Linked DNA regions of Macaca mulatta. The protein of the gene in region 1 purifies or fractionates together with the protein of each later gene. This does not show direct contact. Links are inferred from orthologs where the notes say so. Each region holds a gene or a part of one and is shown on either strand. Other genes may lie near its edges.

Region 1 (11,226 bases):
CAGACAGGATACTGGCAACACTTGAGCTCACCACAACAGCAACAGAAGGTGGCTATGAAATTATTACAGTAGCACAATATGCACTAAGGTTAATTTCATGCAGTTATGATTTAATATTGTATCTAAGTTTCTTTACATCTCCCAACTGTGAACAGTGCCATGTGCAGTCTCCATTACATGTTTGTATGTGTAAGTTTTGATAAATTTTAACATTTCATGACAGATTTGTATATACTTTGATACTGAGTAAAACAGACTAGTATCTACATATATTTTATGCATTAATGACATAACTTTTTAACTTTCTCACTATTTCTAGACCACACAGTTCATCTACAAGTTTTTTCAAATTGTTGCAAATCTCCAAAATTTTTTCCAATATATTAAAGAAAAAAATCCATGTGTAAGTGGACCCATGTAGTTCAGACCCATGTTGTTCAAGAGTCAACTGTACTTTAAATTATCTCTAGATTACTTAGAATAATTATAACATAAATGTTATGTAGTCATACTGTATTGTTTAGGGAATAATGACAAGAAAAAAAGTCTGTACATGTTCACTACAGATGCAATCATCTATTTTTTTCCAAGTATTTTCCATCTGACATTGGATGAATCCATGGATGCAAAACCCAGATACAGAAGGCTGGCTGCATATCAAGACAATTTATGTCTCACCTCAGCTCAAAACCCTCCCATAGGTCCCTATCTCACTAAAGTAAAAGTCAGTGAAGTCCTACATGCTCATTCCTCATTGGCTCCATGATCTCTCTGACCTCATATTATACTTACTCTTCTCCCAACTCTCACTCCATTACAGCAACACTGCTCTCCTGGTTATTTTTTGAACACTCTAGGCATGCTCCCATCTTAGAGACTTCACACAGGCTATATTCCCTCTGCCTGGAACGCTCTGCCCAGAGTATCTGCAGGGCTAACTCCTTCTCCTTTGCTCCTTCTCAGTGAGGCCTTCCTTTACTGCTATATTTAAAACTGCAACACCTAGTGAGCCAAGATCACGACACTGCACTCCAGCCTGGGTGACAGAGCAAGACTCCGTCTCAAAAAAAAAAAAAAAAAAAAACAAAAACAAAAACCAACAGCAACCCTTGCCCTCATATCCTGGCACTTCTTATTCCCTCCCAATTCACTGTTCTCCACAGCATTTATAACCTTCGAGTTATGCCATATAATTTATTACATGTTTATTTTGTCTTAAGCTAATAACTATAATGTAAGCTCTATGAAAGAAAGGATTTTCTCTATATTGTTCCTTGCCTAGCCCAAATGCATCAAATAGTGCCTGGCTCATAACAGGTCCTCAATAAGCATTTAGCAAATAAATGCATGTACACTTGGTCACAAACATGCCAAAACAGTGAAAGGTGATGTATGGTAAGAAACATGCAGCAGACATCTCTGGAAACAAAGAAGACCATGTGGTTCTAGAAAGAGAGTAACTAGCTGTCTGATTCTGACAACTTTCTATCCTTTTAACTCATTTCTTCCAAATTTAAGTTACCTCAAACCATAATACTCTTTAGCTTCACACTTTTCGAATGAATATGTTCCATAAAGCATAAAGAACAACTGCTTTGGTATTCCATAAAAAAATAACTAAGACTTTGTATTATGTTCTGCTAATACAAACGGTAATTTAGCAAAATAGAAAAAAAAAAAAAGTCAGCTTTATATCACTGAGCCGAAATGTGGGCATTCTATGACAAAATAATATTATCTTTGAGAACTTCACATCAACACTTGCAACATCTATTCCAATATTGTACTGCTTTTCCTTTAAAAAAAAAAAAAAAAAGTATATCCTTGAGCAAGGGATAGATTTTTCTGTGAAACTGAGAAATCTCAAGTGCATTGCAGGATCAGACTCCTAACCCATAAAATGAGGAGGGCAAATGTCTAAGGTCTCCTACAGCTCTGAAGTTTAAAAATGTGCGGATGGATAGCAATTGACATAACACATCTGCACTCACAAATAACATATACACAGTAAGAATGATTCATCCATCCCTGTATCATGAGAATGGATTATGAACCTGTTGATTTTACAAAAATTTAATACTGAAGACACTTAAGAGATCTTTAAAATCTAGCAAACAATTAGTATGAAAGGGCCACGTCAGAACTGAGTATTACTACAAATGCATAACATTCTGAGCACTAGACTATCATATATGGTACCATCAGAGGCAAGCAACATGCTATTTTTAAAAGGGAAGAGCTACACACTATATGCGCATGGTTGGTGTTTTTGTAACATTATTCTTAATCTCTTTGCGTGGAATATTAAAATATATTTTTAAAGGGCAGAGAACCGGCCAGGAACGGTGGCTTATGCCCATAATTCCAGCATTTTGGGAGGCTGAGGCAGGCAGATCACCTGAGGTCAGGAGTTCGAGATCAGTCTGGCCAACATGGCAAAACCCCATCTCTACTAAAAATACAAAAATTAGCAGGGAGAGGTGGCACGCTCCTGTAATCCCAGTTACTCAGGAGTCTGAGACAGAAGAATTGCTTGAACCCAGGAAGTGGAGGTTGCAGTGAGCTGACATCACACCACTGCACTCCAGCCTGGGCGACAGAGCAAGACTCCGTCTCAGAAAACAAAAAAAATAAATAAAAAACAGAACCACAACAGCATTAGTGTTTTCAAAAGTAGGTGATACTGATTTTTTTTCAATTTAGTTTTATGTTTGGCCATATTTTGAATATCTCCTACCAAAAAATAACAGATTTTAAAAACCTAAGTTGCATTTTTTAAAGAAATAATCTATAATAACTGATTTCGCAAATAGAACATTTATTAGTTTTTTGGCATCTTCACTCTATTATTTTTAATCCTCTATAACCCTCCCTTTTCCTTTAAGTGTTATTTCAACTTAAATTTTATCGTAAAAATGTCAGAAGACTTCCAAATTGGAATTTTGCAAAAGCAGGCATGAGAATACAGCACTAAAATTCACTTGCATTTCATGACTACTAATTTCATAAAATAAAGCAAAATAAAATTTTCGCCAAATTATAAAAATGATCCATCCTATAGAGGGAGTGACAAAAATAAATTCCAACATTGGACATTTAGTATCCACTTATAAATAAATATCTAATTTAAGTGCAGAGTCTGACAGACATGAGCTTGAATCGTGCCTCTGCCATTTACTACCTGTATAATCTTGGACAAGTTACTTAATCATACTAACCATCAGTTCCCTCATCTGTAAAATGAAAATGCCGCCTACTTAACGATGTTGACAGAATTAAATGAAATGTATATAAAGTGTTTAGTAAAGCATATTCTACCCGTTGAGTCTTCAGCACATGTTATTTTAACAGAGAACAGTGTTCAACAAATAAATGTCATGTATACCTTATCCTGATTATAATTTTACAAGAGAAAAAATATATTTAAGCACTAGAAGTACAATGAAAATATTTCATGATTCCATACGTGCTTCGAGCGCAATTCCTGAATTACCATAGGTTACTGTCACACCATAAAAGTATGCAAGTAGCAATGCCCAGGCCAAAAGAATGAGAATTGAATATAATACGTCCGTACTTATCCTGTGATAAATGCATGCCTTAGTAGATTTATTCATTAAAACTTGAATCTGAAAGGATGTGAAACCTACATAGATGGAAATTTTACACAAAGGACCACCTGTCAAAAAGAAATAGTTCCCAACCTTCAGCAGTTTCGCTTTACTATTTTTTCCAAAGGCGTCTCCAGTGGCGATTAGCTACACTCAGTGTATATAATAAACATACTGTGGCATAATGAAAGGGAAATTATTTGCAATCAGAATGCCTACATTCAAATCTGTCTCTTACTACCTGTGTAAAGCTTCGACAAGCTATTAAAACAACGAAGCCTACATTTCAACATCTATAAAAGATAATACCTACCTATTCCACAGGCCTTTTGGGAAGATCAAACGCGAATGTACAGCAAGTGCCACATGTTATAGTTGAGGTTTTTATTAAAGGCAAGACTTCTTTTAAAAAAATAAGTCGTTATCAACTCATTACAGAGATATTATCAAACTTTTTTCACTCATTACTGCACCCCATGACGGCGTCTGATAATTCATTTTCATTTAAAATTGCCAAAATCACAACCTATAAGGTTGAAAGACGCTTATACCCCCCATAAATATACCTAAAGTAGAAAAGCATTTGCACCGATAACCGGAACATCAAAAAAGGCAGAATAATTTAGTAATTTCCTCTATAAACTCACCACTCATTTAAAAACACAGCTGGTTAAAAATAATTTACTACCTTCAGTGGGTAAGAAAATGCGCTTGAAGAGACATAAGGTGTGGACGTTTACATCTTAGGTATTCATTGTAGAAGGGTCAGTTTGTTCAAAGTAACCGTATCCAACAGGCAATCGCAAAACAAAACCAAGAGAACCCTGCTTATAGGTGTCAAGGATTTAAAACCAAATGGATCGCAACAAAAGAGCCCCCCCTCCGTTTAGTAAACAGATTCTCGAGCTGCAGGCTAGCCGAGGACCGGGCTTTTCAATAGGGGTCAGCTCACTCCACTCGGCAGTCACCTGGCGGGGTATTTTTCGCGAAGTTTCAAAGTCAACAAAGAAGTTCTGTGGCGAGGGGGTAGGGCCTGGCGAGCAATAGGCAGAAGGACGTAAAGAAAGACAAAACCCAGTGGGGGAAGGGTGCGGAAAACGCCCCCGGACGGCAGCGGCAGCGACAGCGGCCCCCTCTTCTGGGCCAGCGCGCGACGGCGGGGACGAGGGAGGCCACGCCGGCCCGGAGCAGCCACGACGCCCCAGGACCCGGGCCCGGCCCGGCAGGGTCCCCGCCCCCCTCGGCGGCGCGGGCGGGAAACGGCTGGGGGCGCGCCGAGGGTCACCTTCCGCTCCCCGGACCAGAGGCCCCGCGGGTGGGCAAACGGCCCAGGCGCCCGCCCTGCCGCGCTCCAGCCGCCCACCTCGAGCGCCGCGGACCTGGCCGGGGCACGAACCCGGGAGCCGACGCAAGGGCTCGGGCGCCGCGCGTCGCCGACTTACCTTCCTCCGCGGTGTCCATCTTGTCTGGGGGGGTGGCGGTGACGCAGCCACGAGCTCCCGCGGCCGGGCGGGGAAAGAGGGCGGGGAGGAGGAGGAGGGAGCCGGGCCCGGGCAGGTGCGTGCGCTCAGGTGCGAGAGAGGAAGCGAGAGGAAGGAGAGGGGAGAGGGAGAGGGAGAGAGGCTGACAGAAAGCGAACCACAAGGGAGGGGGAGGGGCGGGAACACCTAGGGGCGAGGCCTGGGCGGGGCGCCGAGGCGGAAGGGGCGGGAGCTCCCCAACGACAGACAGTGTCACTTCCGGCGGCCGCGGTGCGCACGCTCGGTTGTAGGCTAAGGCGGGGAAGGACCTTTTTCGGGGGTGCGGTGAATCACCGCGTGCTCTGGGCCACCTGGGGTAGTCGCCGAGAATGCGCCGGACAGCGGGGCCGAAACCTAATCAGTAGCTGAGCTTTGGTGACCGCTTCTGGAGGGGCGCAGAGCAGTGGGAAGAGGCCGCGAGAACCTAGCGCCCGCCCCAGCCGACGTGCGAGACAAAGGCTACGGCGCGGGGCTCTTCGGGAGGCCGGGAGGTGCCTGTGACAATGCGAGTCTGCGCTCCACGCTCCCGCACCGCGATGCCGAGGCCGAATGGCTAGAGTGGGCCCAGGCGTCAGCATTTCTGTTTGGCACCCGGGCCGTTGTGGTGCACGTTTTGAGGAACTACTAAAGCCTCACTGTGATGAAAAAGGCAAACGCTGACTTCACCAAAATTACTCCCAGGGAGACTTCTGCATTTGGCTGGAAGGACTATTTGAGTAAACCGCTGAGGCTGGGGGTTGAAACATAATCCTCCTTTAAGGGAGATCTGTTCGGATACCGAGTTAGGGACGCTTGCCTGCGCAGAGCTAAGGGAAGAACGGTCCTAGGCCAAGCTCTGTCCCCATCAGCACGTCACCCTCCCTCACTGTAATCCTTGACTGTTTCTCTAAATGAAGAATTATTTAGAGAATACAAATTAGAAGGGCCGCCAAGTCAGAATTGCCTGAGCGGGAGCAGTCTTTCCAGCCTCGAAAAATGTTTAAACAATATGCAGATGACCTAGCACAAATAAAGAATGCTAGCAACCGCTGTTATGTGTGAGTGGTGAAATTGGGAGGGCCCCTCCCGCAATCTTCATCAAATAGAATAAGGTTTAGAATAAAAATAATGAAATACAGTTTTTCAAAAAGAGCAGCGCTTGACTAATGTTTACTGATGTCACTCATGTTACTCAAGGCAGGAAAGAACTCTACATAATAGGGACCCACTGATTTCAGGGGCTGGCCCTGATGATTAAGCAGACAGCCATTCTTTAAATTTGTTTTTTGTTGTTGTTTGCTTATGTTTTTTTTTTCTTTTTTTGAGAAGAGGTCTCGCATCGTCACCCAGGCAGGAATGCAGTGGTGCGATAGTGGCTCACTGCAGTCTCACTATGTTGACCAGTATGATTTCGAACTCCTGTCTTCAAGCGATCTTTACGCCTTGGCCTCCTGAAGTGCTGGGGTTACAGACGTGTGCCGCTATGCCCTGCCTAAATATGTTTATATATACTACCTCCCAAGAAACAATTTGAAGACAGCTCTTTCCCCAGCTCCCCTCCTTCCGATCCAACTCCAACAAGAGCTAACCCTCCCTGGAAGACCTGTAGCAGAACACTTGTTGGCCTGCTGAGACTAGGGGAAAAGATCAGGACGATCAGATCTATCAGATGTTATATGGCATCAGGGCGAAGGATTCTGAAAGAAAGACTGAGGTTTGCTGGAGGAAGTACTGGTAGTGCCAAGGGCAGGTACGTGACCCTCAGAGCTGCAGAGCCAGGTTAGGATGAAGGGAATGTGTGTGTATGGGGGGCGTGGAGGGAGCCTTCCTTTTGTCTTTTTTTTTTTTTTTTTTTTTTTTTTTTTGAGGCGGAGTCTCGCTCTGTCGCCCAGGCTGGAGTGCAGTGGCCGGATCTCAGCTCACTGCAAGCTCCGCCTCCCGGGTTTACACCATTCTCCTGCCTCAGCCTCCTGAGTAGCTGGGACTACAGGCGCCCACCACCTCGCCCGGCTAGTTTTTTGTATTTTTAGTAGAGACGGGGTTTCACCGTGTTAGCCAGGATGGTCTCGATCTCCTGACCTCGTGATCCGCCCATCTCGGCCTCCCAAAGTGCTGGGATTACAGGCTTGAGCCACCGCGCCCGGCCCCTTTTGTCTTTACATGCCTTCCCTTGTGATGTTCAAAGGAAAGTTAACCTTTTAACTAATTCTCCCTTCTGCATAGTAATTCCTTCTGGAATTGCCCTAACCTTTTCGCATTCAGACTTAGGCATTAAATATAGGAGTAATAAATCAACATTTGTTGAGTCCCCACTGTGAGTCAGGCACTAGTTCTCACAACAGCCCTTCCAATACATGAATCAGTCACACCTCTCTTGGTTGCCAGTGACAGGAACTCAACTGCTAGGCAGAAGGGAGGAAGGTACTGTTGATATGGACAGACTCCAAGAAGGGGAGGGACTGCTGGGACTACTGGAAGGAGAATGCCTCTCTGCCCCCATGCCTCAGCTCTGCCTCTCTCTCTGCACGTTGGCTTCATACTGTTGGACCAGCTTCCTCCATATGTCTGGAAACAAGGCCACTGACAGCTCCCAACATTTCATCTTCTGCCCCATCATCAGATAGGCGAGGTAAGGCTGATGATCTCTAGTCCCAAGTTAAAAATTCTCAGGGAAGGATAGTTCATTGGTCCAGCTAGTTACCTGCCCCTGAATCAAATGATTGTGCCAAAGATCTAGGATCTTTAAGAACATGGACATTGTCATGTTCTTGTAACTGCCATGTTCAGGTAAGAACAATGGACACTACCTTGTGGAAGTGGAGAAAGACCATCTCCCACAAGAAGGGGGAGGACAAAACAATAGATATCTATCAGAATTAGAGTTCAATTAAATTACTAGGTACTGATAGAACTCTAAAGCAATAGTTACCAAATTTGAGGGTGTCTCCATCATTGACACCTTTAACAATCTGATAAAATCTATGGATTTTGTTCTCAGAAAAAATTGGTTAAACACAGAACATTGCCTGCAATCTCAGGGGGGTATATAGATGCCTTGAACTCCATGCATGAATCCTAGGTTAAAAGACCCTCGCATGTAAAGTATTGAGAAAAGTGGTGATGTTCTCTTCCCTTTCTAAGACTATGGCAGACTGGGTTTTTTAGACCAACAGTTGGAAATTCTATATAAAAATATAGAAAACAGATTCTTTAAAGCACTGAAGGCCTGACAAAAATAGTAAGGTAACTACCAGACCAAAATCTTTTTTTGTTGTTTTTGTTTTTGTTTTGAGATGGAGTCTCCCTCACTCTGCTGCCCAGGCTGGAGTGGTGTGATCTCTGCTCACTACAACTTCTGCCTCCTGGGTTCAAGCAATTCTCTAGCCTCGGCCTCCTGAGTGGCTGGGATTACAGGCATGTGCCACCACACCTGACTAATTTTTGTATTTTTTGTGGAGACAGGGTTTCACCGTGTTGGCCAGACTGCTCTCAAACTCCTGACTTCAAGTGATCCATCCGCCTCAGCCTCTCAAAGTGCTGGGATTACAGGCATGAGCCACCATACCTGGCCTACCGGGCCAAAATCTAAGGACAGGAGAGAATACCAAAAAGTAAATGGAACATGAAGGCTGCTTTTGTTTTGCTGAACCAGACAAACTTGAACTTCTGTTTGACAGTTTCTAGCAGCAAGAAGGACGGCTGTCCAAGTCCAGAGCCTGCCCAAGGTAAGGCATCTGTTAAGGGACCTTCCACCAGGAGCCTCGCCCAAGACCCGCACTGCTGCTATCTCGGAATGGTGAACCAAGTAAATCTGACTTCTCCTGGAAACTTCTAGGAAACTTATCTGAGCCTTATTTTTTAAAAGTTTCTGAAAATTTGTACCCGTGAATCAGCCCTGGCATAGACTGTACCCCAAATCCATACCCTAGTGATCAAATAATCTTAAGCAGTGAATTTAGTTTGAAGTAATCTTGGACTGCTGGGATCCCCTAAGCACCTGGCAAAAGCAAACACCAATTCTCTGTGGAAGAATGTACCTGAGTGCTACTCATTGTCCCTAGAAATGTATTTGTGGAGATTCTTTGACAGATAGATGTGTGTGTGTTGGTGTATATACAATACACACACACACTTCACATTTAGCACAAGAACTAACACGCAACAGGTAGCAGAAACCATCCACAAAACCTCAGGTATGGAAGTTAGTAAACACAGATTATAAAGCTACTACACTATGACTATTTAAGAAAGAGTAATGAAACAATTTTATTTTAAAATCTCAATTTTTAAACTGGAATTACATCTTTTGCCACCATTTAAACATAAAATATAAAATTGTATTCATCAAGAAATGAGGATATGCAATGCATAATTTTTTAGGTTGCATGCAAGCAAAATCTTCAGAGAACTCTGCACTTTTCCATGGGCGAGGGCATGGCTGTCCTTAGGCATGTGAGAGTCTGTGGCCTGTGGCTCCCCAATGGCAGAGGCCTCATTTCATGTACCGATGTATCCCTGAGGCCAATACAGGGCTTAACACATAGTAGGGTGTCACTAAATTTTGGCTGAATGAGTAACTATGATTTTCCAGGAGATACTTTATGTCACTGAAATAGCAACATGTGTGTGAATGCTCTTCTTAGGAAAAGACAAATTCATACCATAGCTGAAAAATCAATCCAGTAACAACCATACGTTAGGGTTAGTGTGTCTATGCTCTTACATCAGGATTTCTTGGTTATAATGAATTCATTTTCAGTACTTCATGCAGATATGCTCAACAGTGATATACACCAAGTTAAATAATCAAACTAGAGCACCATGTGTTTCTTATACAATATTCACATGAAAATTACTTACAATTTAACCCAGATTGTCACTAAAATGAAGGCCTTGAAGACCAGTTGTTCTTTTCTCCAAACTTTTGTTATAAACATTTTGAAATATTCAGAAAAGTTAAAGGATTAATATAATGAACACCTGTATGCCCAACCTAGATTCAACAATTGTTAATATTTAGCCATATTTATTTTAATGATATTCCTTTCTGTATCATTTGGAAATATTATGTATTATATATTTCCAAATATATATAAGTTCATATATACAGTTCACATATATATAGTTCATATATATAGTTCGTGTGTGTGTATGTGTATATATATATAGTTTTCTTTTGAGACAGTTTCGCTCTGTCACTCAGGCGGGAGTGCAGTGGTGCAATCTCAGCTCACTGCCACCTCCACCTCCCGGGCTCAAGTGCTTCTGGTGCCTCAGCCTCCCAAGTAGCTGGGATTACAGACGTGCACTACCACACCCAGCTAATTTTTCTACTTTTAGTAGAGATGGGGTTTCACCATGTTAGCTAGGCTGATCTCAAACTCTTCAGTTCAAGTGATCCTCCCGCCTTGGCTTCCCAAAGTGCTGGGATTACAGGCACAAGCCACCGAGCCTGGCCAAAATATATATATTTGAACATCTTTGCCCCTAAATACTTTAGCATGTATCTCCTAAGGTTAGAATAATCTCCTTGAAAACCATTTCCACACCATAATAATATGTAGACTCTAAAGTTTCTCTAATTGTCCCAAGAATGACCTTTATAATTTTGTTAGTTTGTTTAACAAGGGTCCAATCTGGTTTCCTGTATTGCTACTGGTTTGGTCTCTACAGTCCATCTCCTTTAGTCTAGAATGGTCCCTGTACTTTTTGTTTTCCAATGACAATGCCTTTTGGAAGACCACAGAACAATTGTTTCATTCAATGAATGTCTTTCATGGTAGATTTATCTGATTGATTCCTGATTGGTGTCATTAGCTTGTTCCTTTAGCCCCTGTATTTCCTACAAACTAGAAGATAGGCTTAGAGGCTTAATCTGATTCAAGTTAAACATGTTTTTGCAAGAATATTTGATAGATGATTATGTGTTTTTCTTTTCTTTCTCTTTTTTTTTTTTTTTTTTTTTTGTGAGATGGAGTCTCGCTCTGTCACCCAGGCTGGAGTGCACTCCGCCTCCCGGGTTCACGCCATTCTCCTTCCTCAGGCTCCCTAGTAGCTGGGACTACAGGCGCCTGCCACCATGCCTGGCTAATTTCTTGTATTTTTAGTAGAGACGG
Region 2 (10,444 bases), on another chromosome or scaffold:
ATTTTTTGCTTTTAATTTTTTTGCCTATCTCTTGTAGGCTTTTGATTTGAAATTACCGTGAAACTTGCAGATCATATCTTATAACCCATTATTTTAAACTGATGACAACTGATTCTACAAACAAGCAGAGAAAACTAATAAAAACTCTACACTTTAACTTTATCCCCCTTGCTTTTTAACTTTTGTGAGTTTTGTACCTTCATGTAATTGCTTACTGCTCGTTAATGTCCTTTTCTTTCATATTGAATAACTCACTTCAGCATTTCTTGTGGGAAAGGTCTGGTGTTGATTAAGTCCCTCGACTTTTGTTTGTCTGGGAAAGTCTCTATTTCTTCTTCATGTTTGAAGGATATTTTCTCTGGATATACTATTCTAGGATAAAAGTTCTTTTCCTTCAGCACTTTCAGTGTGTCTTGCACCTCACTCCTGGCCTGTCAGATTTCCACTAAGTCTGCTGCCAGACATACTGTATGTTTCCATAGGAAACATACAAAAGCACAATGATACTATGTACTGCCAGACATACTAAGCCAGGAGTTTCACACCAACCTGGACAATAAAGCAAGAGCCCATCTCTACAAAAAATTAAAAGATGAGCAAGGCATGGTGGCGTGTGCCTGTAGTCCCAGCTATTTGGGAGGCAGGGTGGGAGGATCTTTTGCTCTAGAGCTCCGTTGTTTGTTGTTTCCTTTCTCTTGCTGCTTTTAGGATCTTTTTTTTTATCCTTGACCTTTGGGAGTTTGGTTATTAAATGGCTTGAGCTAGTCTTGTTTGAATTAAATCAATCACCAATCCTTGCTTGGTGTTCTGTAGCCTTGTGCTTAAATATTGGTATCTTTCTCCAGATTTGGGAAGTTCTCTGTTATTTTTTCTTCGAATAAACTTTCTACCCTGATCTTTCTACCTCCTTTTAAAGGCCAAGAACTTAGATTTGCTCTTTTGAAGCTATTTTCTAGATCTTGTAGGTGTGCCTCATTCTTGATTATTCTTTTTTCTTTTGTCTCCTCTGTGTATTTTCAAATAGCCTGTTTTCAAGCTTACTAATTCTTTCGTCTGCTTGATCAGTTCTGCTGTTGAGATTCTGCCGTGTTCTTCAGTATGTTAATTGAATTTTTTATCTCCAGAATTTCTGCTTCTTTTTAATTTCAGTTGTTTCGTTAAATTTATCTGATAGCATTCTGAGTTCCTTCTCTGTGTTGTCTTGAATTTTGTTGAGCTTCTTCAAAACAACTATTTTGAATTCTCTAAAAGCTCACATCTCTGTTACTCTAGGATTGGTCACTGGTGCCTTATTTATCAGAGTTAATTTAGTGAGTTTATGTTTTCCTGGATGGTCTTGATGCCTGTGGATGTTCGTCAATGTCTGGGCATTGAGAAGTTAGGTATTTATTGTGGTCTTCGGAGTCTGGGCTTGTTTGTACCCATCCTTCTTGGGAAGGCTTTCTAAGTTTTCAAAGGGAAGTGAGTGTTGTGATCTAAGTCTTTGGACATAGCAGTCGTATCTGCATTAGGGGGCACCCCAAGTCCATTAACATTGTGACCCTTGCGGACTCGTAGAGGTACTGCCTTCGTGGTCTTGGGTGATATCTGGGAGAATTCCCTGGATTACCAGGAAAAGAACTCTTGGTTCTCTTCCCTTATTTTCCCTCAAACACAGAGTCTGTCCTTTTGTGCTGAGCTGCTTGGAACTGGTGGGGGGAGGGGTGACACAAGTATGCCTGTGGCCACCACCACTGGCCTGTGCCGAGTCAGACCTGAAGCCAGTACAACACTGGGTATTGCGCCAGGCATGTGGCGATGACTGCCTGGTCACCGCTGATGTTCCCTCAAGACTCAAGAGCTCTACAGTTAGTACAAATCCAGCCAGGCTTGTGCCTTTCCCTTAAGGGCAGTGAGCTCCTGGGGACCCAGGACTGGTCCAGAAATGCCGTCTAGGAGCCAGGGCCTGGAGTTGGGAACCTTAGGAATCTACTTGGTGCTCTATTCTACTGTAGCTGAGCTGGCACCCAAACCTCGAGACATATTCCTTCCCACTCTTCCCTCTCCTTTCCTCAAGCAGGAGCCTCTCCCCTTAGCCACCACTGCCCCAGGCCTGCAGTGGGTACTGCCTGGCTGCGTCTGGTGTTCACTCAAGGCTCCAGGGATCTTCAGTCAGCTGGTGGTGAATGCCGCTAGTCCTGGGTCTCTCCCTTCAGGACAATGGGCTCCCCTGTCACCCAGGATGGATCCAAAAATGCTGTCCACGTGCCCAGACCTGGAATCAGGGATCCCAGGAACCCCCTTGGTGCTCTGTCCCACTGGCCAAGCTGGTACCCAAGCTGATTTTTGGTTCTTATGAAGGTGCTTTCCTTTGTGGACAGTTGTTCGTTTTAGTGTTCCTGTGTGGGAGGAGGATGATCGCCAGAGGACTTGCTTTTTATGCCTGGATACCTGTAGATGGCCTGGATACCTGTAGATTCCTTTTATTTTCTTCATATTTTAATTTTAAGGCAGCCTTATAAATGTATTGACATTGTTGGACTTGTCATTAGGTGTGTATATGAGTTTCATGAGGGCAGAGACCACACTCTTGTTATTACTGTATCCCTAGTGCCTGGCCACCTATTAGGTACCCAATATTGATTCAAACAACTCTTGAATTTTTGCCTCAGCAAATTTTAATCATGATTTGTTTCCATGTATTTTCACATTTTTCTTAATAGTAGCTTACATCAGTAATCTTTATACATTGAGTTGTCTTTCTTTTTGTCTCAAGTGATGCTCTAAGATAAAATCTTCATTACCTCTCTTCATAGGTGTTCTTCTTTTGGGAGACGCATACAATATGAGGCATCCACTTACTGGTGGAGGAATGACTGTTGCTTTTAAAGATATAAAACTATGGAGAAAACTGCTAAAGGGCATCCCTGACCTTTATGATGATGCAGCTATTTTTGAGGTAAGATCAATTATTTTGACAAAAATGTCTCAAAATGGATTTATTTCTGAGGGTTAAGAGCAGTGGGGCTCTGATGGGGAGATCTGTACTAAGGAACCTGAGCTTTATAATAGCTCTTAGGCATCTTGCTTAGGCTTGAAGAACCTGACATGCAACCTGCGAATCATAGAGAATTTCTAAATTTGAATATTATGTAACACTGGATTGCTATGGGCCACTTAGCTCATGGTGGCTGTAAATTTAGCTTCAGTGTCATATAACCCATTGCTCTGAAGGTGATTTTTTTTTTTTTTTTGGTAAATGATAAACATAAGGCAACATTACTTGCAGATAGTCCTTAGAAGGATAAATGTCAGTTTGAGGGGATTATAAACATCAGTTTGTGCTTTTTTATCCTTGCCATATAATAAATGAGCTATTTCTTTTTTAGGCCAAAAAATCATTTTACTGGGAAAGAAAAGCATCTCATTCCTTTGTCGTGAATATTCTTGCTCAGGCTCTTTATGAATTATTTTCTGCCACAGATGGTAAGTGTAGCACTTTTTAGTGAGTATTTCTCAATTGCAGATTTTTAGCATAGGAAAGGAATAAAAAAGTTAGTGATTTGTCCAGAAATAAAGATGTTACCTGAGTTTGCTAACTCCCAAGTTGGTAGTTTTTAAAAAAATTCCATTTTGAGCAACAGTTTTAGTTTTAGTTTGGAAGGGAAACTTTAGTTTTAGTTTGGAAGGCAGTGGAATTTCCTTAGACAACATTAATAGTATTGCCTCAGTAACATATTCATTATTTTGAATTCCTCTGGTGCAGACTAGATCATTCATGTCCCCACACACACAAGATTGTGATGGAAGGTGTTTTTGGCCATGTATTAAAAGGCAATAGTCTTTTTCTTCCTAACACTAGTTTCAATTTCTTTTTAACGTAGTATTTTATAAAATGAATACGAGCTGTTAATCTTGTCCCTGTTAAAAAGCACAAGTAACAATGCGTTCACCCTTTACTTATTTGGACTATTTTGGTGCTTTTGTTTCTGTTTCCATATTATAGAGAGGTCATGGTCAATGTATATATTATAGAAAACACAACTTAGCAGAAGCAGTGTTAGAAATGGAGGAAAAGAGGCCAGGCGAGATGATTCATGCCTGTAATCCCAGCACTTTAGGAGGCCAAGGCAGGAGGATCGCTTAAAGCCAGGAGTTTCACACCAACCTGGACAATAAAGCAAGACCCCATCTCTACAAAAAATAAAAGATTAGCAAGGCATGGTGGCGTGTGCCTGTAGTCCCAGCTATTTGGGAGGCAGGGTGGGAGGATCACTTAGGGCCAGGAGTTTAAGGCTACAGTGAGCTATATACAGTGAGCTAAATACAGGGAGCTATATGAAGTGCCACTGCACTCAGCCTGGGCAACAGAGTGAGACTCCATCTTCTAAAATGAACAAACAAAAAATTAAAAGAAATGGAGGAGAAAAGGCAACTGTGCCACCTCCTCACCACAGCAGTGTACACATCAGTTTAATAGTAGGTTAATGAAACTAGGCTTTTCAGTTTTCAAGAATAAATATTGACTCAAATGCCATTACTCTAGTATATCTGCAGCATAGCTATTTGTATAGATCATACAAGGCCCTAGTGGTAAGTGCTGTGGTTATAATTACAAAAGATGGTACAGTATAAAAATGCTTTCTGTAGCTTCTATAACCATTAACTCTTCCTAAGAAAAAAAGAACCACCACCAAAAAAACCCCCACAAAACCACCAGTCTCACTGGTTGTGATTTTTCCAAACAAATTTCTCTTGCTAAATTGGCATAGAAGTTAAAATGGCTGGTTGGGCAAATGAAAGTAACTAAGTTTAGAGTTTGGGGCAAATAAAAAGAAAAGAACTAAGTTTAGAGTTTTGGGCAAATAAAAAGAACTAAATTTAGAGTTTTTCTCAGCTCTTCTTTCTAAGCTTTTCTGACTTCTTGAGTTCTTACATTATGAATTTGAATCTACCAACAAAACATTTTTTAAAAGTTACAAGATTGGAGGAGGAAAGACCTTTATTGGAGCAAAAGTTTACCTGTTGCATCCTTTACTTTTTAAAAATCTGTTGTAAAGAAAAATCTAGGCATACCTGAACAGAACATTGATTCTAAATGGTTAAAAAGGTTATCAATTGATTATACGATATTGTGAGGGTTTTATGAGTTACTTTGAAAGGTATAAAAACTTTATAGATATAAGGAATTACTATTTATCGCTACTCACAGCTCTTCTTTTCACTTGATAATTTACTTCTTAGAGATACTGGTTGGGCATCTTAGAGACTGGGAATCTGGTTTCTAGAATTGTGTTAAACAGAGCTTCCAAAGTATTTTGCATCACTTAATGAATTAACAGCAAAATCAAGGAAGTACCTTTTAAACAACTCTTCCAAGACCTAAATATTAGTAATTATTTACTAACAGAAAGAAGTTTATTCATATTTGTATTACTCTCCATAATGCTGATTATGGAATTTAAAAGAAATCCTGGTAGTTGAAATTCTAGGACTAGATATTTAAAAATTATCTGCAAGATGTAGCGTTTGTTCTCATTTTTTCTGATATATCATTAGGATCCTACATAAGTGTGTACACATATTTGATTATTTTTACAATTTTATTTTAGATTCCCTGCATCAACTAAGAAAAGCCTGTTTCCTTTATTTCAAACTTGGTGGTGAATGTGTTGCGGGTCCTGTTGGGCTGCTTTCTGTGTAAGTTGTGATGGCACAGAGGATACAAATCTGCCAGATTTTCTTAGGACTGTTCAGTTGATGAATTACTGCAAATCTTTCTTCCTTACACATTTTGATATTTTTTTATCTATTAGTATCCGAATGAGAAGGTGGCCCAAAGAAATGAAGAAAGGCAATATTTAGTGCTGTTTTCTTTCTGGGAACAGCAGTTTAAGGTGGTGGTAGAGGAAGCTGTAACCCTTGATTAAAATAGAAGCTTGTTTTTTGCCTATGGATTTATCCATATGTTCTGGTCTCTGGGAGCCAGGAATAATTGAGAAATTTTAATTGAGAAATTAGTTTCATTGAAGTACAGGGACTTATACAACCCCATATTAGTTTTGAACATACAGACATATGTGGAGCTATTCCTGGAAAGTCTACAAAGTGAAATCTTTCGAGTTATTTCTCATCTGCAAAGTGATCCTTTGAGTCATTTCTCATTAGTCTATAATCTGAATGTTAATACTGGTATTTTTAAAAGCCCTACATCCCAACAGACCAGGCCATCTAGGTATTTTAGCATGGTATCTCAGGATGAGTAAACAAAACAGCCAAAAATATATGACTTATGTAAACTAGAGTTACAGGAGTTACTAGCTTCTCTGAAAGGGATATAGTCTAAGTATTTTTTCTTATATATTTTTAAAAAAAAGGGCAGGGGAGTTTGCTCCTGCCATCAAACTTAACATGCAGACATGTTTGTGAAGTCCTCTAAAATACAGAATGTTTGATACAGAATGATGGTGCTTGGGTGAAAAAACGTAGGCTGTTTGTTGGGCTTTACAGATTATATGTAATTGGAATGTTTGGAGTAAATTTTAGTTTCTGAGTCTTACCAATATGTATTTTTTTTCTATTACAGATTGTCTCCTAACCCTCTGGTTTTAATTGGACATTTCTTTGCTGTTGCAGTCTATGCCATATATTTTTGCTTTAAGTCGGAACCTTGGATTACAAAACCTCGAGCTCTTCTCAGTAGTGGTGCTGTTTTGTACAAAGCGTGTTCTATAATATTTCCTCTCATTTACTCAGAAATGAAGTATATGGTTCATTAAGCTTAAAGGGGAACGATTGGTGAATGAATATTTGGAACTTACCAAGTCCTAAGAGACTTCTGGAAGAGGAGGTGTATAGCATAGTACCATACCACTTCTAAAGTGGAAACTCTTGGACCCAGATTTGGATTAATTTGTTTTTGAAGTTTTTTGTATATAAATATTTAAATACATGCTTTAATTTGCAAAATGAAGGGTAAAACAAGTTAGATATTTAAAAGAAATGATTGTTTACCATAAATTAGTGCTAATACTGAGGAGAACTACAGTTTTTCTTTTGAATTTAGTATTTGAGATGAGTTGTTGGGACATGAAAATAAAATGAAGAATGAACTTTCATGTCTTTTTGTTTCTTGTTGTGGGCTCATTTACATAGCTTCATGATAATGAAAAAAAAAAAAAAAAAACCAAAGTGGGATGAAAAGTGCAGAGGGAAACCTGTTCTATTAAATAACTGGGGAAGTTGTTGCCTTAATGTCTTCACCTTGATTTCCTCATCTCTCTAGTGAAACAATTTGATAAGGTTATTTTCTTTAAAAAAAATTACTTATTTATATTATTTTGGGGCTGTGACTCAGATTCGAACTGAAAGGTTCTTTGCTGAGTTCTCTAAAAATATCAGATTCTGACAGGAAGGACAATCAAGGGCTTTATAAGTTCCACTGTATAACATTTATAAACCAGGCCAGAATGACATCAAGAAACAGTGAACAAATAAGCACTTGTAATACCCAGTATAATACCTTAAAATCCATTAGAATTGACTGGGTTTATCTACAGTAAATTTGAAGAGACTATGGACGTTCAAAGGGTATCATAAAAGTTCAGTAAATCTCCAAATATCATGAAAGTAAATTGTTACTTCTGAAAGAGCAGTAAAATATAACCTGGCAAATTAAGTTACTACTTGAGATTCTAACAGGGCTAAAATAACTTATAAAGCTTTTACAATAAAAATTTCAATTTTTAAGTTCTTTCAGTTGAGAAAAATACTGGCCAAATCACTAGCAAGCCTTGTTTTAGCAGAGTATATGGTGGACCCATTTGCGTGGTTTCATAAGATTCCCATCTAACTGACCCTAAACTTCTATTTTCTGGTTAAAAACTCACTTTCCCAGATCTGGCCTTTTTAGCAGTTAGCTTTCTTTTCAGAGAACTAAAGATCTCACTTCATGTGGTTATTGTTAACAAGATTACAAATGAAAAAGAACAAGGTATCTTTGAGATATAGATGTTCCCACACACAATCTTTGCAGGTGGTGAGACTTCCAAGCTCCCTACATACCAAGCAACAGTTCACTTAAAATTCTGCCCTGGCCTCGATGCCCTCATGCCCAGGATTAGAGGCTACCCTTGTTCTCCATTGAGACTCCTTGAAAATCCTTTCTACTATGATAGTGAAATAATCAAAGCCTATCAAGTCTTCCCTTCAATATCAGAATTTGAGGCCTTCAGACAAAAGAAATAACATCATAAAATGAGAAAACTGAAGGAACCTGAGAAATCCTTTAGTCCTAATTTTACAGATGATGCCAATGGGCTGGCTTGGGACAAGGTGTAGCTTGTGGCAGAACCAGGACTCAAACTTTGCCTCCTGACTACAAATCAATGCATCTTCCCCCACCACTAGCAAAATGACTGTCAAACAGATTTTGGCTTCTGGGTTTGGTTTGGTTTGGTTTGTTCCTTCCTTTCCAGAGGAGGACATAACCATAGAGATTCAGGGTGGAAACATCGTTCTTGCTCTCATCTAAGTTGTTGATGTTCAAGTTGCCACAGTAGGATGGCAGTGATACGGTGTGGCTCTGTGTCCCCACCCATATTCCTTCATATCAGTGTGATAACAGACTAGCAGGCAGCTTCCTTTTCAGGGTAATTTTCATGCAGAAATGATTTAGGATTTCGAGGGAGTTAAGCTTACGGCAAGGCTATTACCAAAAAGGACTGCGGATAATGACATAGTTATGGGGACTTGGGACAGGACTTAGGTTGCTGAGGAAGATACTGGAAGGAGCAGCTTTGTTAAGAGTCCTACAGAAGGAATGCTGTGGACCCCCAGGGCATCTGGGATTGGAAGAGGATGGTGAGACACCAAGAAACTTCCATGGTACATGACACACATTGTGTGGCCACTCCATTTGCTACTCGTCTGGCTATCACCATGTGCCTGCCAGCTTGTTGGGGGTGAACTAATATATCGAGCAGAGTCATCTCTTACCTTCCAAACAGGGTTTTTTACAGGGTGAATATATAATTTTTGAATCATAAGGAGAGACGACTTTGGGTACTGGCAATACTATTTTACTGAAAATCTGGAGTTGCACAAATAGTTCTTTAGAACATAAAACTAAATGGATTTATACATAACAGTTACAGTCGGCATTTATGAGAGGCAGTACAAAAATGTGTTCTGCTTTTACATGATATAAATTGCATGTAATACCATGATTTAAACACTATCAGTTACATTAACTAATGCCATGAGATATATCTTACTCAGAACGTCTTAAGTTTCCCATAATGGAGAGCAAAAAATGCAGTTATATGAACAACTGAGTTTCTTTTCATTTTCAAATTCATTTTAGTGATGATGGGAAGATCTAAGGACAATCCTTCCATTGAAGAAGTAGGAAAAAACAGTTACAGCACTGTTCTGAACTCATCAAAAATGAAATTAGGCACATGTGCTTCAGCAACCTGAAAAATTAAAGAATTAAGTTATTCATGGTGTTATAGTTGAATAAATTGAAAATTTGCACGCAAAAAAGAGAAGGTATCCTTGGAGCAAGGTCAATAACGGAAGAGGAGACTCCCATGGGCGGACAACGCCTTGAAACAGCCCCTTTCTGTTTCTGGTGCCCTCTGGACGACAGTCTCATTTCTTGGCACTGCTAACATTTGAGGGGACGCAGTACAGCTCTCCCGCCTCCAAACGTGAGCTCCTTGGCTCTTAAAGGCACCTTGATCTGCGAGGAATGTTCATGCCTCTGGGAAGTACTGACAAGTACTCAGGTCACCTAACACACTTTATTAACTGATGACCAACAAAGGAAAACCAGGATGGCTGGCAAGTGACAGGAATGGAGAAGTAGAGGAGGGCAGGAATGAGAATGAGAAACCAAGGCCAGAAGGGGAAGAGCCGGAAGGCCTCAGAGGCATACCTTCCTGAACTGTTCTTAGGCAAAGCCCTGAGAAGAATAAATTGGGCTGAGTTGGGTAGAATGTAGAGGTTGGTGATCTCCAAGTGCTGGAGATGAGTATTTTTTAGAAGCAGTGTTTAATTTTTTTTTCTGATCAAAAAGGTATCGCCTGCTAATGAGAGGAAATTTTGCAAATGCAGAAGACTATAAAAATTAATTTTACAGGGGGTGGGGGGCGAGGGGAGGGAGAGCATTAGTATAAATACCTAATACATGCGGGGCTTAAAACCTAGGCTGGGTGTGGTGGCTCATGCCTGTAATCCCGGCACTTTGGGAGGCTGAGGTAGGCAGATCACGAGGTCAGGAGTTCAAGACCAACCTGACCAGCGTGGAGAAACCCCATCTCTAGTGAAAATAAAAAAATTAGCCGGGCATGGTGGCACATGCCTATAATCTCAGCTACTCAGGAGGCTGAGGCAGAATAATTGCTTGAACCAGGGAGGTGGAGGTTGCAATGAGACGAGATCTCGCCACTGCACTCCAGCC
Region 3 (10,444 bases), on another chromosome or scaffold:
ACTGGAACCTCTGCTTCCCGGGTTCAAGCAATTCTCTTGCCTCAGCCTCCCGAGTAGCTGGGACTACAGGCGCACGCCACCACGCCCAGCTAATTTTTGTATTTTTAGTGGAGACGGGGTTTCACCACATTGGCCAGGATGGTCTCGATCTCTTGACCTTGTGATCCGCCCGCCTCAGCCTCCCAAAGTGCTGGTATTACAGGTGTGAGCCACTGCTCCTGGCCCATTCTTACCATTTTTTAAATAAGGCTAAAAGTATAAGGTATGGTAATGTGTGTTCATTCTACACCTACAGTACTACATTAACATTTTCCCATTTGTGATTCTAGTTGCAGTTGCCAATATCTATGCCTGTAAGGGGCTAGACAGGATTGAGGAGAGACTGCCTATTCTGAATCAGCCATCAACTCAGGTGAGCTTGGGACAAAAGTGCTGAGGCTTGACACTTCACATGTTTTCATGTTCTATCTGTTAGCACAAGCTGTACATACCACAAATAGGCAAATACTTAACTTGTTTTCCCAACCTGGATCTGGATGTGTGTTTGAAAAATAATAGCCGCTTCCTTACTTCCTGAACTGTTGTCAAGTTGTATCTATGAAGCAGAGAAGAACTAACCTCCTTTGGATTAGAAAACTTTTAGTGTGGTGTCTATCAATTTGTGTCTTTGCTCCTGTAGATGAAATTGCTGTCTCAAGTAACTGATTCTCTTGTGGTATTAAATAAATGCAGAGTAACTGATTCTCTTGTGGTATTAAATAAATGCAGAGTTGATATATATATAAACTTTTCTCACCTGGCTTGTACAATGCTGCCAGGAACTACCATCCACATGGGATAGCTAGCCAGTGTTGACAAAAATGATAGGCTCATCTGTCCTGGTGATCCTTTGATTCAGATAATGTCCTAAAATTTTGTTTCAAATTAAGAATACAGAATGGCACAAAAGGATACCAGTTAGGGAAAAATATAGCTCTGTGTCTTTTCATAATCTAAATGCAGTCATCTGTCAGTTAGTGATGGGAATATGTTTTGAGAAATGCATCATTAGGTGATTTTACCATTGTGTAAACATCACAGAGTATACTCACACTAACCTAAATGGTAGAGCCCAGTGGTCCCCAAGCTTTTTGGCACCAGGAACTGGTTCCGTGGAAGACAGTTTTTCCATGGATCGGCAGGGGGCGGGTGGTGTTTTTGGGATGATTCAAGTGTACTATATTTATCATTAGATTCTCATAAGGAGCAGACAACTGCACGCATGCGCATGCACAGTTCACAGGGTTAGGGTTAGGTCTCCTATGAGAATCTAATACCGCCTCTGACTGGTAATGGACTGGTAATGGTCCATGGCCCGGGGGTTAGGGACTCATGGTATAACCTGCTATATACCTAGGCTGTATGGTATATAGCCTGTTGCTTGCTTCTAGGCTACAAACCTGCACAGCATGACTACATTGACTACTATAACACAATGATAAGTATTTGTGTATCTAAACGTAGAAAAGGTACAGTGAAAAAAAAAAAAGGTATACCTGTTATAGGGCAGTCCATTATAATCTTTTGGGACTATCATCGAATATGTGGTCCATCGCTGACCAAAATGTTATGTGGTTCACAACTATAGATAAGTTTAGTGTATAGCCTTTAGAATGCTTGTGCAAATCTTTTAAATTTTTCACTTACATTGCTTGAGACTATGCTAATGGTGAGAGCTATTTTCCATTTTGAATATTTTCTTTAAATGTTGGTGACTTGTGTTACCAACACAAGTTTGGCTCACTGCAGCCTCTTCCTCCTGGCTTCAAGTAATTGTCCTGCTTCAGCATCCCTAGTAGCTGGGTTCACAGGCACGCCCCGCTACACCCAGCTATTTTTTTTTTTATTGTTTGTTTGTTTTTGAGATGGAGTTTCACTCTTGTTGCCCAGGCTGTAGTGCAATGGTGCAATTTTGGCTCACTGCAACCTCCACCTCATGGGTTCAAGCGATTCTTCTGCCTCAGTCTCCCAAGTAGCTGGGGTTATAGGCATGTGCCACCACGCCCGACTAATTTTTTGTATTTAGTAAAGACAGGGTTTCACCATGTTGGTCAGGCTGGTCTTGAACTCCTGACCTCAGGTGATCCAACTGCCTCAGCTTTCCAAAGTGCTGGGATTACAGGCGTGAGCCACCATGCTGGCCATGTATAATAACTGCATACTAATAACACCCTGAGGGCCAGGTTTAGTTTGATCTTCAGTTTCCTTTCTGAAATTATGTGACTTTGAAATAAGCTATATAACTTACCTTTTCTTTTCTCTTTTCTTTTCTTTCTTTTTTTCTTCTTTTTTTTTTTTTTTTTTTGAGACAGGGTCTTGCTCTGTCACCCAGGCTGAGTGCAGTGGCACAATCACGGCTCACTGCAGCCTTGGCAAACAGACAGATTTCATATCTGTTTACTTCATTTGCTCCTCCAGCAATTCCCAAGGATTGGCAGGTAGGGCAGATACACTTGATAGGGAAATTCAGGCTCATCAACTCTTAGTGACTTGCCCAAGACCTAAAGCTAGAATGAGAGGACTAGATTCCTTTAACTCTTCACCTGTGCTGCCTTAGCTAAGACCTTGAGTATGTCCTTGTGCTCATGTTTCTCACCAGCCAAGGGATCTGCTTTTCAACTTATAGATTGTTGCCAATGCCAAAGGTGCTGTGACTGGGGCAAAAGATGCTGTGACGACTACCGTGACTGGGGCCAAGGATTCTGTGGCCAGCACGATCACAGGGGTGATGGACAAGACCAAAGGGGCAGTGACTGGCAGTGTGGAGAAGACCAAGTCTGTGGTCAGTGGCAGCATTAACACAGTATTGGGGAGTCGGATGATGCAGCTCGTGAACAGTGGCGTAGAAAATGCACTCACCAAATCAGAGCTGTTGGTAGAACAGTACCTCCCTCTCACTGAGGAAGAACTAGGTAACTGGAATTTTATCTTCAAATACTGTTTTATATTAAATCTTTTTTAAACAGCTTCATTGACATACACTCCTATCTTTAGTCTAAATTTACACAGTTGTGCAAGCATCACCGCAATACAGTTTTAGAATACTTCTGCTACCCCAAAAGATCCTCATGCCTGTTTGCAGTCAATCCTTTTTAATTTAATTTAATTTTATAGAGATGGAATCTCACTATGTTACACAGGCTGATCTCGAACTCCTGGGTTCAAATGATCCACCTGCCTTGACTTCCCAAAGTGTTGGGATTACAGATGTGAGCAACCACTAATCTTTTTGCCTTTATAGATTTTCCTTCCTAAAGCAATCATAAAGTTCACATTGAATTGTACATAGTAAGTTTTCAAACTTTAGCAAAAATTGGCCTTGAAAAATATTTTCTGTAAATGGATTGCTTTATAAAATCCTCATTACAAAGAATCATCATTAGGTAATGTGTGCCAGGTATCATGCCGCTCAAGTTCACTGTAGGCTGGGCACAATGGTGCATGCCTATAATCCCAGCACTTTGGGAGGCTGAGACAGGCAGATCACTTGAGTTCAGGAATTTGAGATTAGCCTGGGCAACATGAAGAAACCCTAAAAAACACAAAAATTAGCTGGGCGTGGTGGCTTGTTCCTATATTCCCAGCTACTCGGGAGGCTGAGGTGAGAGGATCAGTTGAGCCTGGGAGGTTGAGGCTGCAGTGAGCCAAGATTGCGCCACTGTACTCCAGGCTGGGCAACAGAGCAAGACGCTGTTTCCAAAAAAAAAAAGGGCAGTTTACTCTAGTGGAAAATACGTGTAGATGCATGCAGTGTGTAGCAGATACAGTAATATGTTCAGGGTAGTCAAGTCCAGCAGCAGACATGAGCAGTCTTGGAAAAATGACTACATGATTGCTAAGTGATTGGGTAGAAGTAAGAAAGTCAAGACCCAGGTTTGAGTCCAGGCCATATCAGTTGTCGCTGTGATCCCTTAAGTTTTTTTATCTCTTATTTCTAACTTCAGAAAAAGAAGCAAAAAAAGTTGAAGGATTTGATGTCGTTCAGAAGCCAAGTTATTATGTTAGACTGGGATCCCTATCTACCAAGCTTCGCTCCCGTGCCTACCAGCAGGCTCTCAGCAGGGTTAAAGAAGCTAAGCAAAAAAGCCAAGAGACCATTTCTCAGCTCCATTCTACTGTTCACCTGGTGAGTAAAACTTTATTTTAAGGTATCTGAAGTGGGTTCATTTATCTCTAGGACCAAGAATTAATGTAATCACAAAATCCAAGAATTTCACTGTTACTTGAACAACCCAATAGAAAACTGGACAAAGAATATGAAGACAGCTCACAGAAAAAGGAAGTATAAATAGCTGAAATATATGAAGTAATGCTAATCTCGCTCTGAGGGGTCAAGTACCAACATCTCTCTTGTCCTGCCACACAGGAAATGTGGCTGTTGGCAACGGTGTAGAAAAAGAACCACACTTACACAGCTCTTGCTCTAAGGGACTGATTCAAGAGACAGTTTTAGGAAAGTTACAAACATACCCACTCTTCGAGCAGTTTTTTACTTTTTATCTTTCGGATGTGTTTATTTGTTTAAAGTTGCAAGAGACTATAACAATGGACATCCACTAACAGGACTAATTAAATTGATATATCACAATAGACTACTGTAGCCATTAAAGGTTGCCAAGTTAGAGAACAGTATGTACCATTCTGTACTGCCATAAGAAAACCATTTCTTCCTTGAAGGGGAAATAGGTGGTTGGCAACAGGGAAGAGGAAGGTCAAATTCCTTTCTGTTTTGTAATTCTAACATCCTTTACTCATGTGCACATTAAATTTTAGTTGCTGGCTGGGCGTGGTGGCTCATGCCTATAATCCCAGCACTTTAGGAGGGCAAGGTAGGCGGATCACTTGAGGTCAGGAGTTCGAGACCAGCCTGGCAAACATGGTGAAACCCTATCTCTACTAAAAATACAAAAATTAGGTGGGCATGGTGGCATATGCCTGTAATCCCAGCTACTCAGGAGGCTGAGGCAGGACAATTGCTTGAACCCAGGAGACGGAGGTTCAGGGAGCTGTGATCACTCCACTGCACTTCAGTCTGGGTGATGGAGTGAGACTCTCTCAAAAAAAAAAAAAAAAAAAATTTTTTTTTTCGTTACTTTACCTGTGCTAAACTGGAGGTAAATTTGGAGTCAGTGATTTAACAGTTAGAGGCAGTAAAGAGCTATTACTGCTTGGTTAATTTACACATACTGATAATAAATAACAATGATAGCAGGAATAGATCTCATTCAACTCCAGGAAATTCTTAGTTTTTTTTTTTTTTTTTTTTTTTTTGAGACGGAGTCTCACTCTATCGCCCAGGCTGGAGCGCAGTGGCCAGATCTCAGCTTACTGCAAGCTCCGCCTCCCGGGTTTATGCCATTCTCCTGCCTCAGCCCCCCGAGTAGCTGGGACTACAGGCGCCTGCCACCTCGCCTGGCTAGTTTTTTGTATTTTTTTTTAAGTAGAGACAGGGTTTCACCGTGTTAGTCAGGATGGTCTCGATCTCCTGACCTCGTGATCCGCCCGCCTCGGCCTCCCAAAGTGCTGGGATTACAGGCTTGAGCCACCGCGCCCGGCCAATTCTTAGTTTTTATATTGCCTGATTTACATCATACATCTGCAAATGGGCTAACATGAATATCTGACTTGCGTGTTCCTTTGTCTTGTTTCAATGTGTCTAGATTGAATTTGCCAGGAAGAATGTGCATAGTGCCAATCAGAAAATTCAGGATGCTCAGGATAAGCTCTACCTCTCATGGGTGGAGTGGAAAAGGAGCATTGGATACGATGATACTGATGAGTCCCACTGTGCTGAGGTAAGATGACTGGGACAGTCATTCGCTGATTTCTGAAGAAGTTCTTGTCAGACTTTTCATTTCAATTCTTCCATACTATGTCTTAGAATACTCTTCTGTATCAAAAGGTTGAACGATACCATGTGCATAGGTGGCTAGTTATGTGGCAGAAAAGCAAAACTAGGCAGGGAATAATTTTATCTAACAACCTATGAGTATACATATGCCCCAAGTGAGATACAACTAAATGAGAAACATAGGCCTTGCCCTCATAATGGGTACAGAATAACAGGGGATACAGCCAGCCATGCTGTCCTATTGTGCCTTTTTTTTTTTTTCCAATGCTCCTTGCAGAAGAGGGCTATCCCATAGGCAGTACGCTCAGAGTAGCCAAGTCCGGTTGTTTTTTAACAGCATCAATACAGGCACTATTGGCCGCGCGCGGTGGCTCACGCCTGTAATCCCAACGCTTTGGGAGGCCGAGGTGGGCAGATCATGAGGTCAGGAAATCGAGACCATCCTGGCCAACATGGTGAAACCCTGTCTCTACTAAAAATACAAAAAATGAGCCAGGCATGGTGGCACGTGCCTGTAGTCCCAGCTACTCGGGCGGCTGAGGCAGGATAATCGCTTGAACCCAGGAGTCAGACGTTGCAGTGAGCCGAGATCACACCACTGCCCTCCAGCCTGGGCAACAGAGCAAGACTCTGTCTCAAAAAACAAAAGAAAATATATGGGAAGACTATCTCAGGCAGCCTTGGAGTAGGGGTAGGTGAGTCACATTGCTTCCTGGAAGAGATGAATGGTAAACTGAGAACTAATGGGTGAATAAACTAAGTGAAAGGGCAATAAGGTGACTAAGGTTCTGGAGAGAAGACATAGCATCTTGGCTGGGTGCAATGGCTCACACCTGTAATCTCAGCACTTTGGGAGGCCAAGGCAGGCAGATCACTTGAGCCCAGGAATTCAGGACCAGCCTGGGCAACTGTGAAACCCCCATCTCTACAAAAAATGCAAAAATTAGCAGGGCGTGGTGGTGTGCACCTGTAGTCCTAGTTGCTTGGGAGGCTGAGGTGGGTGGATCACCTAAGCCAAGAGGTCAGGGCTGCAGTGAGCCATGATTGTGTCACTGCCTTCCAGCCTGGGAGACAGACTGAGACCCTGTCTCAAAAAGAAAAAAAGAAAAAAAAAAAAAAAAAAACAGAAAGAAATATCCTCTAGGATATTCTAGGAAATGTCCTAGAAAGTGGTTCTTTGCTTCCCAAAAGCTCTGAAGTCAGTAAACAGTGTTTCACCATTTTGGCCAAGATGGTCTCCATCTCCTGCAAGGAGCATGTCTTGTCATCTTATTTGAGGAGGGAATATATATATTACATTACTAGAATGAAGTACATTTCCATTCTTTTGGGTCTCCCCTACCTAATATGTTTCTTCAGTTTAAGATGATGAACTTTGGAGACTCAGGCACTAGTTCGAATCCCTACCCAGCTGTTTTCCAGTTGTTAACTGAAGCCATCTACTTAAACTCTAAGCTTATATCCACATCTATGAAATGTGAATAATACTGCTGCACTCGGCATTGTAATGAGGATTTTTAAAAGCCGAAGAATCCATATATGTGGTGGCCACATAACCAGCTTACTGTCATTGAACTAACTTAACATAGCACTGCTGGATCCACTGCTAATTTTAAGTTTTATTTTTAGCACATTGAGTCACGTACTCTTGAAATTGCCCGCAACCTGACTCAGCAGCTCCAGACCACGTGCCACAACCTGCTGTCCAACATCCAAGGTGTACCGCAGAACATCCAAGATCAGGCCAAGCACATGGGGGTGATGGCAGGCGACATCTACTCAGTGTTCCGCAGTGCTGCCTCCTTTAAGGAAGTGTCTGACAGCCTCCTCACTTCTAGCAAGGGGCAGCTGCAGAAAATGAAGGAATCTTTAGATGATGTGATGGATTATCTTGTTAACAACACGCCCCTCAACTGGCTGGTAGGTCCCTTTTATCCTCAGCTGACTGAGTCTCAGAATGCTCAGGACCAAGGTGCAGAGATGGACAAGAGCAGCCAGGAGACCCAGCGATCTGAGCACAAAACTCATTAAACCTGCCCCTGCACTAGTGCATGATGTGGCCAGGCAGATGACCTGTTATGTTGAAATTAACTTGCTAGGCAACCCTAAATTGGGAAGCAAGAAGCTAGTAAAAAGGCCCTCAATTATAGTTGTTTCTAGCTGAATTAAGAGCTTTAAAGTTTCTGGCATTAGCAGATGATTCTGTTCACCTGGTAAGAAAAGAATGCTAGGCTTGTCAGAGCCTATAGCCAGAACTCAGAAAAAATTCAAGTGCACTTACGTTCTCATTCTGTGGCCACTGTGTTGCCTCTGTTCCTGTTTGTATTGAATAAAAACATCTTCATGTGGGCTGGGGTAGAAACTGGTGTCAGCTCTGGTATGATCTGAAAAGTCCTCTTCACTGGTTTATCTCATGATGATTACTTGTAAAACTTGATTTTAGCTTTTTATTTCTCAAATAGGAATAATACTACGTTTGAATTCAATAAAATTCACTGCAGGATAGACAAGTTACATGCTGTTTGTTCCATATGCTTTGTGTGTTGCTTTCGTAGAGCTGCTTAACCTGCATGACAGAGTTATTATACATACATGAATTTCAGTTGGCCTGTTGGGGAATTTGGCAGAGTGAGAACATTGGAAGGCTAATGTTAAAAATGGGATGCTTGATAACAGATTAAAAAAAAACTAAAAGCTGATGTGCATACTCAAATTTTACTAGGTGACAGTTGGCCCTCTTTGTTTGCCAACTTACTGGACCCCTGTGAGTGGGTTGGTTTGTTTGTTTGTTTTTGAGACGGAGTCTCGCTCTGTTGCCCAGGCTGGTGTGCGGTGGCCGGATCTCGGCTCACTGCAAGCTCCGCCTCCCGGGTTTACGCCATTCTCCTGCCTCAGCCTCCTGAGTAGCTGGGACTGCAGGCGCCCGCCACCTCGCCCGGCTAGTTTTTTGTATTTTTTAGTAGAGACGGGGTTTCACCATGTCAGCCAGGATGGTCTCGATCTCCTGACCTCGTGATCCGCCCGCCTTGGCCTCCCAAAGTGCTGGGATTACAGGCTTGAGCCACCGCGCCTGGCCTGTTTTTAAACCAGTAAAATGTCCTAATCATGTCTGACTACCTTACTGAAAAGGAATCAGAGCTGAAAGGAAGCAAGTGATTATTTAAATCAGTGTCATGTAAAGTCACTGGGCATTTCTTGCCAGGGAACCAGTTAAAGTGTGAGTCCTAAAGAGAGATTCTTCAGTGTCCAGCCTCAGCTGGACTTTACTTACTGTGTTGTTATTTTGGGAGAAAGTCACTAACCTCAGTTGTTGTTGGGGAGGTACATATAGAAGACCATGTGAGACTAATTAGAAGTAAAAAGACTTTAAGCCCCCTGTAGACAAAGGTTCTTTTTTTTTTTTTGACACAGGCGTGAGCCACTGCGCCCGGCCGACAAAGGTTCTTCTTACCTCCTGCCTATAGTATCCAGACTTCTAGTCCATTCAACATTGGTTATTTAGGAACTATCCTGAATCTCCTTATCATGCATATGCAATATGTCAAACTAGTTTTTAAAAGTGAGTCTCAGAACTTGTGAAATAGGCCCGGCACTGTGGCTCACACCTGTAATCCCAGCACTTTGGGAGGCCGAGACAGGCAGATCACCTGAGGTTAGGGGTTTAACACCAGCCTGACCAACAACGTGAAACTCTGTCTCTACAAAAAATACAAAAATTAGCCTGGCCTGGTGGTGTGTGCCTATAATCCCAGCTACTTGGGAGGCTGGGGAAGGAGAATCCCCTGCGTCTGGGAGGTGGAGGCTGCCGTGAGCCAAGATCTTGCCATTGCACTCCAACCTGAGCGACAGAGTGAGACTGTCTCAAAAAAAGAAAAGAACAAGGCCGGGCGCGGTGGCTCAAGCCTGTAATCCCAGCACTTTGGGAGGCCGAGACGGGCGGATCACGAGGTCAGGAGATCGAGACCATCCTGGCGAACACGGTGAAACCCCGTCTCCACTAAAAAAATACAAAAAAAAAAAAACTAGCCGGGCGAGGCGGCGGGCGCCTGTAGTCCCAGCTACTACAGGGAGGCTGAGGCACGAGAATGGCGTAAACCCGGGGGGCGGAGCTTGCAGTGAGCTGAGATCCAGCCACTGCACTCCAGCCCGGGCGACAGAGCCAGACTCCGTCTCAAAAAAAAAAAAAAAAGAACGAAAAGGGTGTGAAATAGAGCTACATGCTTCTGGCTGTCCCTGCTAAAAGGTAAGCAGGGCTGCCCTCAGCAGAACTGAAGTCTAACTCAAATTCGTCTCTTTCTATCCTGGTTCACCCCTTTATCTCCATGAAAACGAGGAAGCAGCACATAACTTTACATGCTCCTTTGGTATGAATGAGTCTATTAAACTTTTTTATGGACCAGGCACGGTGGCTCATGCCTGTAATCCCAGCACTTTGGGAGGCCGAGATGGATGGATCCCTTGAGATCAGGAGTTTGAGACCAGCCTGGCTAACAGGGTGAAACCCAGTCTCTACTAAAAACACAAAAATTAGGCCGGGCGTGGTGGCTCACGCCT

The links.
Region 2: the proteins of MARCHF6 (region 1) and SQLE purify together in Homo sapiens (affinity purification with western blotting; 4 studies listed by BioGRID and IntAct, with this or other methods). This does not show direct contact. The link is inferred for Macaca mulatta from reciprocal best matches to the Homo sapiens genes MARCHF6 and SQLE.
Region 3: the proteins of MARCHF6 (region 1) and perilipin-2 purify together in Homo sapiens (affinity purification with western blotting; 3 studies listed by BioGRID). This does not show direct contact. The link is inferred for Macaca mulatta from reciprocal best matches to the Homo sapiens genes MARCHF6 and PLIN2.

The regions. Positions count from the first base shown.
Region 1 is NC_133411.1:11,494,656-11,505,881, reverse strand, and holds the start of MARCHF6 (E3 ubiquitin-protein ligase MARCHF6), read right to left. Parts: upstream 5,080-11,226; 5' UTR 5,073-5,079; coding exon 5,054-5,072; intron 4,854-5,053; exon of another isoform or gene 4,300-4,853; intron 1-4,299. UniProt on the Homo sapiens protein: Endoplasmic reticulum membrane-associated E3 ubiquitin ligase that plays a critical role in mitigating endoplasmic reticulum stress, the regulation of cholesterol and lipid homeostasis, and ferroptosis.
Region 2 is NC_133413.1:135,453,837-135,464,280, forward strand, and holds the end of SQLE (squalene monooxygenase), read left to right. Parts: intron 1-2,795; coding exon 2,796-2,938; intron 2,939-3,368; coding exon 3,369-3,465; intron 3,466-5,591; coding exon 5,592-5,679; intron 5,680-6,565; coding exon 6,566-6,758; 3' UTR 6,759-7,094; downstream 7,095-10,444. Other genes in the region: WASHC5 (WASH complex subunit 5), read right to left, coding at 9,399-9,455. UniProt on the Homo sapiens protein: Catalyzes the stereospecific oxidation of squalene to (S)-2,3-epoxysqualene, and is considered to be a rate-limiting enzyme in steroid biosynthesis.
Region 3 is NC_133420.1:80,071,457-80,081,900, forward strand, and holds part of perilipin-2, read left to right. Parts: intron 1-329; coding exon 330-412; intron 413-2,665; coding exon 2,666-2,951; intron 2,952-3,983; coding exon 3,984-4,165; intron 4,166-5,699; coding exon 5,700-5,834; intron 5,835-7,519; coding exon 7,520-7,810; coding exon of another isoform or gene 7,811-7,921; exon of another isoform or gene 7,922-8,404; intron 8,405-10,444. UniProt on the Homo sapiens protein: Structural component of lipid droplets, which is required for the formation and maintenance of lipid storage droplets.